Caenorhabditis elegans: one gene and its partner. The protein of the gene in region 1 interacts with the protein of each later gene in a pairwise test. Each region holds a gene or a part of one and is shown on either strand. Other genes may lie near its edges.

What was found. Proteins that work in one complex are often made in the same cells at the same time.
Region 2: the proteins of ess-2 (region 1) and col-140 interact in a two-hybrid assay, tested with the Caenorhabditis elegans proteins (one large-scale study listed by BioGRID).

The regions. Positions count from the first base shown.
Region 1 is NC_003281.10:8,487,247-8,492,555, reverse strand, and holds ess-2 (Splicing factor ESS-2), read left to right. Parts: upstream 1-2,203; 5' UTR 2,204-2,218; coding exon 2,219-2,419; intron 2,420-2,473; coding exon 2,474-2,734; intron 2,735-2,782; coding exon 2,783-2,956; intron 2,957-3,019; coding exon 3,020-3,615; intron 3,616-3,736; coding exon 3,737-4,100; 3' UTR 4,101-4,217; downstream 4,218-5,309. Other genes in the region: F42H10.2 (coiled-coil-helix-coiled-coil-helix domain-containing protein), read right to left, coding at 1,508-1,594, 1,651-1,911; LIM and SH3 domain protein F42H10.3, read right to left, coding at 4,434-4,589, 4,663-4,856, 5,036-5,149. UniProt on the Caenorhabditis elegans protein: Regulates pre-mRNA splicing.
Region 2 is NC_003283.11:5,834,770-5,838,719, reverse strand, and holds col-140 (Nematode cuticle collagen N-terminal domain-containing protein), read left to right. Parts: upstream 1-1,885; 5' UTR 1,886-1,908; coding exon 1,909-2,043; intron 2,044-2,091; coding exon 2,092-2,826; 3' UTR 2,827-2,865; downstream 2,866-3,950. Other genes in the region: F26F12.2 (uncharacterized protein), read left to right, coding at 133-180, 228-367, 413-697, 748-954, 1,011-1,083; srh-76 (Serpentine Receptor, class H), read right to left, coding at 3,583-3,755, 3,801-3,950.

The DNA.
Region 1 (5,309 bases):
GCAGACGGATAAGAGGACGTAAACGACCTGGGTATAGTGAGGGAAATAGGCGGGTGCGCATATCTCGAGGGGGTTAGGAGAGGTAGTTAAATTATCACTGTTGACAGGTCTCGCTACAAAAACCAGATAAAGTACTTTAACTGATCAGTGTATAGAGGAGCATGTAAGAGAGCTTGACTAAAAATCTTATCTTTGAAAAATTTCAGAATTCTCTCAATGCGCTCATGAATTTTGTTCTTGTAGGGTGATAGGAAATTTATAAAAAACTAATAAACACATTTAAACATGAAATTGCAGTTTCAAGGTGCGAAAAACCTATTCTATTTAGCATCAAACAAAAAAAGAAGAAAAAATCGATATTGCCTCAAAACCGTACCCGAAGTTTAAAGGAACATTCTACTTTACTTATTTCGCGGCGAGACCCATGAAGGAAAATCGTGTCATGTCTCTTTAACCGGTGAGTACGATTTGAGGCAAAATATATTTTTTAAACATCGTAATATGCTGTTTGGACTTGTACCTGCCGAAAAAACACTGGAAAACACAGAAATCACTCATAATTCACAGAGAAACTACTACTTTCATATCAAGTGGTGTTCTGGGAGTATATTTAGCTGATATCTCCCCAGTTTTGCTTCTCTTGACTCGATCTTTTCCTTTCTCAACACGAGACATTTTCAAGTAGCTTCTCGGTTTTTCCCTTTTTCTACCGTCTCTAACTGCTTGCGAAGGGGGGCGCGCAAACACTAAGGGGAAAAGCCTACACTTCAACCGACACCCGTTTCTCTGAATCTCTTAAATTGTATAAAATCTCTCTATCCAGCCTGTCAACATGATATTTTTGTTTGATATATGGTATTAGAATATTTAGATTAGGATATGTTATCAAAAGGCGTCTATTGAGATCTTGAAAAAATATTTATAATACATTGAAAATCATTTGATCTGACCCAATCGGAGAATTTGAGTATCATTTTTTCTTACAATGCTCACTCAAAAATCACAAGAATTTAAATACAAATTGATAGATGAACTCGAAACGCTAAATTCTTTCATTGGCGCCCTACAAAAATAGCGTAAGTATGACAAGTGAAGCAATTTGTTAAAGCGAAGAAGAACTTTACCGTAAAACCGGGTCTATACTTTCTTCTCCTACAATATGCAAAATTCCCGCTTCCCGCCGATTAATGATCTGCAACGTTTTTACCATATTTAAGCCTGACAACTGATGGCCGAATCGAATCTTCCACAGCAACTAAAACTTCAAGTGGAAAAGGAGAATAGATATGAAAAGTACTTCAAGCCGGCCAAAGGAACATCCGAACAGCGAAAAGAAAACCAAAAAATGAAGGAGTGTTCGAAGATATACAGATGAAAAGAAAAGAGAGCAAATAAACGTTTCGCAATACTCTTTGTAATGCACAAAATACAGTATAATTATTACAAAACAGTATTTAAACAATAATTATTTATAAATTAACAAAATGAACAAATTATAATTGAATCATCACTTTTTATCATTGTCACCGGTACCGAAACACTGTGTTCGTGTGACACACTCCATGAACGACATCAACTCCTTACCGCAAGCTCCCTACAATACATATTATTTATTTATTTTCGAGAACTCTAGAGCTAAATAATTGTTACCTGCTCTATTTCACCATCACTATTGGTCTTTTGGCACGTAATCGCTTCCCGAAACTCGAATCCACAAGGGCTTCCAACAAGATGACCGACACAGTGACATTCAAAATTGATTTGGCCATCAGCAGTTGTTGGTCCGGGGTTATTGCTTGGATAGACTTCATTAGGGTCCGTGTTAGCTAGTTGTATAAGATAATCGTCTTTAATATCTTCCCAGTACTCATCGACGCTCATTCTCACAACTTCATCTTTTGTTGAAGCCATTTCGAGATTATCACCTTTTCTGAAAGCAATTAATGTTTTTGAAGATAAATTAACCAGAAATCAAATATATTAATTTACGGACAAGAAGTGTTATGTATTTAATCAAATAATCTTTGAAAGAAAACAAATTCTAACAGTAAGTTTATTGTCCACGAGGACTACGTACGAGAGCGCTAAACAACTTGCACTACGAAACTCCGATTTTTTATAAAATTTCGCAATTTCTTTTATTTTTCTAATTTTCGTGGTTTTTTCTTTTTAAAATAGTGCTTTTAATTTTATTTTGTAAATTTTCAGAACTCGAAAAATGTCGTCGTTCGACAAAAATGACGAGCGAGCTCAGCTGATGGTGCCAAAATCAATAAACGAGGGAAAAGTAGTGAAATTGTCACAGAAAACCCTAGTTACTAAGAAAATTGAGCGCCAAGTTGTTCCCGAGGAGAAGTACATTGCTGGACTTGATAAAATTATAGAAAAAGATTATTTTCCACATCTCAAGAAAATGCAGGTAAAATAATCATTATTTATAAATATTTACTGTTTTAATGAGTTCTATTTTCAGGCACAGAAAGAGTATTTGGAGGCTGTTGCAAATAAGGACATTAATAAAATAAAAGAACTTCAAATGAAGTTCTGCAGTACTGGAAGTGTGCGGACCGATAGAAGCTTCAGAACCCCAATAACAACTCGTTCGACAACTGAGGCTCCTGATGTTTCATCTTTCGATGCAGATACACCGGGCCCTTCATCTGCTTCAACTTCGAGTGCACATGATTGGATGCAATCTCCAATGCCTTTTGCTAATGAGGAAGGAGATAATGAGGTTAGATTTATGATTTTCAATCCATTACTATCTTTCGCAGAGTTTCAGGCGTTAAATCGGAAACGAAAAAAGAAGAAAGAAGAGACTTTAACGTCATATCTCAACAAATACACATCAGAAGACAATGCTTCCTTCGAGGAATTGGCGAAAGTTATGAGGGAACGAGAAGATGCACGTCGTCCTTGGGTTTATAAAGCCGAGGAAGAGCATAACAAAAACCTTGTAAGATATTCTTTCACGAATAAAATCTGATATCGTCGAATTCGTAACTTAATCTAATTTCAGGTGACTCGACAAGCAATTGCTGCTGAAGCTGACGTGCAGTTGGCTTTAAAACATGCTGTAGATGCTGATGACAATAGACCTCTGAATGTAGACAATTGGGCATACAAAGCATGGAACACTGTACTCTTCAATCCGGATGGGGCAGCTCTGACACCTGCAGAGATTGCAGATGCAGCTAGAAAACAGCAAACTGAAATAAATAAACGTGGCACTAGGTTTCCAGACTCCGGAAAATTGAAGCCTAGCGACGAAGCTATGACTCGAGCAGCAGTGAGCCATGCTCTCGCGAATGCCGGAAAAGTTGATTTTTTGGGAAATGAAGTAACTCCAGCCAACTCATTCAAATTACTCGAAACACCGAATCCAAATCCTGACGACATGGATTCTCCTCTTATGACTTGGGGAGAAATTGATGGAACACCATTCCGACTTGATGCGCCTGACGTTACAGAGCATTCGTTGCCTGGTGCGGCGCCTGTATTCAAGATACCAGAGGTTCCGTATCGGGAGAAAATTGCACAATCTATGAATGATTCAATCGCGGCCAAATATAGAGACAAGAGAAAAGTTGCGATGAGAGCAGCTGAAGGAGCTCAGTGAGTTTTCATTTTTCAATTAAAAATTGTTTATTTTTTCAAGTTATAAAATATATTTCTCTATGGTATTAAAATCTATAACGAGATAATAGTACTTCAAATAATTTTCAACTTGGTAAAGTTTCAGCCGAACACCTGGATTTGGATCCAAGCGAGTCTCAGACAAGCTTGCACAATTATCTCCTGCTGCTCAAAAGTTGGCAACCAAGAAGCTTGGATTAAAAATGTTACCTGCTCACAAATCTCCTTTCGCCTCGCCGAAAATCATGTCGAATTGGTCAAGACCGTCAAGTTCAAAGCGATCCACAACTCCTGGTTCTGCATGGAGTCGTGGTTCTACTACACCTGGATCATCTTGGAGCCAAGGAGCACAAACTCCTGGCACACCTGGGATTGAATCTATGATCCGAAGAAAAGGGGATAACGTCGGACCTTCAACATCAGCCGGAGCTGCAGATAGAGCAAATGCTGGAGACTTTTTCTAATATTATAAGATTAGTATAATTTAGATCTGTATATTTTGTTCTCATGTGCCTTATAGACACGGTTTATTATTTATGACAATGGCCTAATAATTGATAGTAAATTCATTTATTATAATTTTTAATTTTTAAATTTCAGCACCATATAACATTTTAGAAGATTGAAAAACAAATGGAGAAAAGGCATTCAGAAGGTGAACAGAACCCGTTTGTGGGATTTTCAGAAAGTTGAAAAAATAACTGCAGAAGCCTGAAGCATAATTGAAGCATTTAGGGGAAATGTGTGAGCAAGAGCAGGTCATGGAGAGATAGAAAATGTGCGTGGGTTTGGAAATATTAAGAAAGTCGGTGCAATCCGGTAGGAAGTTTATGTGGTTGAACATAATTTGCAGGTAGCATTCCCCATTGAAGAGTTCGTTGAACTGTTCCTGTCATCCATCCATCATCAATTTTCTCGCAGTTCACGATGATATCACCTTCGAGGAATGAAATCTGGAATCAAATATTTTAGATGGTTGAATAAATTTTCATCGTGAAACTGGTTGAAAACCTAATTTAAATTTACCTCGTCTTTATCAGCAGCAGCGTAATCATAAATTGCCTTAACTGCAAATCCAGCTTTTCCAGTCGGTGAAATTGTGCTTTGTGGAGAAGAAAGTGTTGAATGTGGAGATGTTGAAGATATACTATTTGATGATGGAGGTGGAGCTCCTGCAAAATCCGCACAAAATCTTGCCGGACCTTTATCCACTTGAGCCTCTGCAACAAGCGGTTAGTTTCAATTAATGACAGATCAAAATTATTCAAAATGAGCTTTTTAAAAGATTATTTCTTCCACAAAACGAATTAATAAGTACCAAAACGTGCAAAAAATTTGTGTGGATTACAAATGAGCAAATCATTCAAACAAAAGCCAAAAAAAAAAACAAAATCCTTACTCAAATATCCAAGTTTCTCGGAATTTCTCGGTTGAGCAGCAGCTGTACCCCATTGTCCGTTCATTGGATCATAGTCAGCAATACTTCCGATTGATTTTTGTGGTGTTGGAGATACTGAAAGCGAAGAAAAATAACAATGCACAACACAAAAGCTTTTAGAAAATTACACATGAAGCACAACGAAAAATTTGGACTTTATATAACTAGATACCATAAATTAGACAAGGCTTAGGCTTGGCGTCAGTGGGGGAGCGTTAGCTCCCCCACTGACGCG
Region 2 (3,950 bases), on another chromosome or scaffold:
CTCCGTTTAAAAACATGTACAATGAATGTTTAATAGAAATTATTTGAATTTTGGCGAGACGTGTAAATTGTTATTCTCAAGATTAGCCACGTCGTTGTTTTAAATTATTTCTTAACTTTTTAAACAATAAAAATGACAGAATTTGTATGCGGTAATGATGAGCAGTCTGCTGAACAAAAAGTATGTGATTTTCAATTTTAATATTCAAATAATACCAATTTTTGCAGAATCCCAATCAAGAAAATCCTTTTTTCAAAGTTGCCCCGAATAAAAAATTTCAAGCTTTGATTCCATTGCTTCTACAGGATTATTGCATTAATCCAATTAGTTCTGAATTGCGAGTCTGTTACGATGCACCTACCAATCAGTTAGTTTTCCATTTTTATTTCTTTTAAACTATAAGAATTTTCAGATCGTCACTTACTTACACCTTGACTTGGGATAAGAATATTTCGGAAGAATATGAATTTGAAAAGGCTTTGTTGGAGGAGAAGCTCATTCAAAATTATAATAATCTCGCACGCCCGAAACTCAATAATCTGGATGCTCCAAAAAACGAGCCCAAATCTCCCATTCAATCTTTGAACTACGCAGTACCAACGAAGAATGCTCTCGAGATGAACTACCCAGCGAAAGACGAAAAGATCACAGTTAAAATGGTTATTCTCACAGCTGCTAAGGATTATGGGGTTTTCTAGTGAGTTTACAATGTTCTATGGAAATATGTAGTAACATAGTTTGTTTCAGTGATCACTGCAAAGTTCAATCGAAGTTTTCTAAAAGTATTATTAATCCAATTTCCAAAATGTTGTTCAACAATGGAAAAGATGAGGCTGACTATTTGAAAACTGGAGAACTCTACTACGCGGAGCTACATCCTGATTTTGAACGAAAGATGTATAAAATCGAGAAACCTGAATACAAGAAATTGAAGTTGAACAATATACCGAAAATGTTCGTTTTCAAAAAATTATTCTGATGTTGTTTTTTTTCAATTTTTAATTTTTCAGATACAATGATATTGCTCTCGTATTGGATTTAGGAGGATATGTGAAGAGTGGACGCACTGTGTATTTCGAGTAGTAACATTTTTGTATCGTAGAAGCTTAACTGTTTAATTATCGATTTAATAAACTTGATTTTTCTGTTTGTTTATTTTTAGTTTTAAGTTGGTTTTTTTCCGGTTTACAAATAGCTTTTGCTTCGTTTGCTAGTCGTCCATACTCGGCAAATTACACCAGCTTCTTCCAGTGCTATGTTTGAATTCTGCCGTAAATTACGCATGTTTGACACACCGTTTTCCTACTTCACTGGCAAAACGTCACAACTTTATAGTGCACTTCTGCAACTTTAAAAATAACACTTATTCAACTTTGCAGCAGCTGTTATGAAGTTACAGAACCCAGGCTGTACTTTAAGCTACACAATCATTGGTGAATCTCCGGTGTATGTGTGCAGGCTGATAAAGAACATGGTGCATCGAGCAAAGATTCAATACTTGTTTTTTGAAGTGGCACAACTGAATAGTTTAACTCTTTACAATAAGAATTTAAAATTTCGTCTGTATTTTTGAGTTGTTTGGTTGCTATGTGAACGGTTACTTCCTATTTTTTTTTCTTAATTAGTTCCTTCTCTCCGTTCTTATCATCAAAATTTTTCTGCCACGAAACTGGTTTTGCCGTACACTTACGCGAAAGTGAAGCAGTAAGAATCGAAAATGAAGAAAATGAAAATGACCTTGCTTTTCCGGAGACTTAGAGAATTAGCAATTTCCAGAAAAAAACGTAGAAAAAGGTTTGATGGATAGATAGGTAACCATTGGAGATAGATGGAAAGTTACACCCAATGAAACAGTATAAATAGCAATAGCGACAACGGAGAAATCACTCTTGTCTTCAATAGTCTATCATGGGCAAGCTTATCCTGGTAGGATCTTCGATCGCACTCACCTGTTGCTTGGTGACCGTCTTCACGATGGGATCTCTCCTTCAGGAGATCTCTGACATGAAGATGGAAGTAGAGGATGGTATGATGGAGTTCAGAGTAAGCTTACTTTAAAGTTTTGAATGTTTCACCAATCATACCTTTCAGGAGATTCATCAAGATACCTGGAACCGTGTTGTTCGCAAGCACATCAACCCAACTGGAGAGACCGATGCCCCACCAAACTTCCAAACTCTTTTCGGTATTCGTAGATCTCGCCAATCCGGATTCCCAGAACAATGTAACTGCGGACCACGCTCCGAAGGATGCCCACCAGGACCACCAGGAACTCCAGGAGAGCAAGGACCACAGGGAGAGTCTGGACCTGACGGAGACGATGGAAAGCCAGGACTTGCCGGAGAAGTCGTCGCTATCGTTCACGATCTTCCAGGAGGATGCATTCAATGCCCACCAGGACGTCCAGGACCACGTGGACCACCAGGAGAGGTCGGACCAGCTGGACCATCCGGAGACAACGGACGCAAGGGACCACCAGGACCACCAGGAGGACCAGGAGGACCAGGAGAGGGAGGAGATGGAGGTCGCCCAGGAAACCCAGGACGCCCAGGACCAGCTGGGCCACGCGGAGAGCCAGGAACCGAGTACAAGCCAGGACAACCAGGACGTCCAGGACCACCAGGACCACGTGGAGAGGCCGGACCAGCCGGACAACCAGGATCCCCAGGAAACGATGGAGAGTCTGGAAAGCCAGGAAACGCTGGACGCCCAGGACCACCAGGAGCCCCAGGAAAGAACGGAACTCCAGGAGTTCGTGGAGAAGATGCCGCCCCAGGACCAGATGCTGGATACTGTCCATGCCCAGCTCGTGCCTACAAGGCTTAAGCGTTCTGTTTCTTTCGAAAATAAATTTTCATTTTCATCAATACATACATACACCAAAAACAATATACACAAAAACGTTATTTATCAGGAAAACTGGAAAATACTATCAAAAAATATTTTCAACCAAAGTTTTTTTTTGAAAATTTAATGCTTAAAAAAGTGAATTCGGAATTTAGTTCCGCTTTTTAAGTTTTGTTGAGATGTAGTCTAGACGTATTCTTTTGGATACGTCTAGCTGTGAACTCTAGTAATATTTTCACATCACTTTCTTATTAGACAGAAATTCATTATGAAAACTCTCTGAACGCTATGCTATATGTATAGTTTGACATCTAACTTCTAACTACTTTTTCCCAACTACCTAACACAAATCATAGAAATCACTACTCAACGCCTGGTCTGTGGTGTAGGTCACAATGATATACAAATTCCAAATATTCTTGAAATTATTCAAGCGAAATTAGAACGCACAATTTTGTTGAAAGTTGAGTAGTGGCGCAAAGAAAAGTTTTTGGAAGCCTCAAAATAATCTGACAAACACTGGATAAATTGTATTTAAAATTAGGAAATTTTTCCAAAAAGTTTAGACTATCAGAAATCTTTTTTCTTCTTTTTAAAATAATTTTTTAAATACACATATTGTCATACGTTACATGTTACATGGGCAAAAGTTTGAAAACGCAGAAGCGCACATTGGCTTTTCAAAAAAATGACATTGCAAATTTTCATTGGTGATTAAAGGTAATTTTTTTACTCCTATTGTATTTGATTGTTTCTTGACACCGAAATATTACTCGCCAAATCTGTTCTCGACTTAAACATTATCAATTTTCTCGCAAACTTCCAATACGCTGTATGACAAGATATAAGTCCTATTGTTGATACCGTTCCATAGAAGTTGAAAACCAAAACGAAAAAGTTGTTGAGCACTGAAACTTTGAACAATTTTGAAATTTTGAACAACTTTAAACAACTTTGATTATAATAATTCGAATAAACCGAATAGCAGCAATATGACACTGAAGGCACTATGAATGCATATGGAACAAGAACTTGAATGAGAATTCCAATAAAAAACTTTTTCTGCAGTTCGATTGTTCTTTTTGAAAAGCTACTTGATTTTG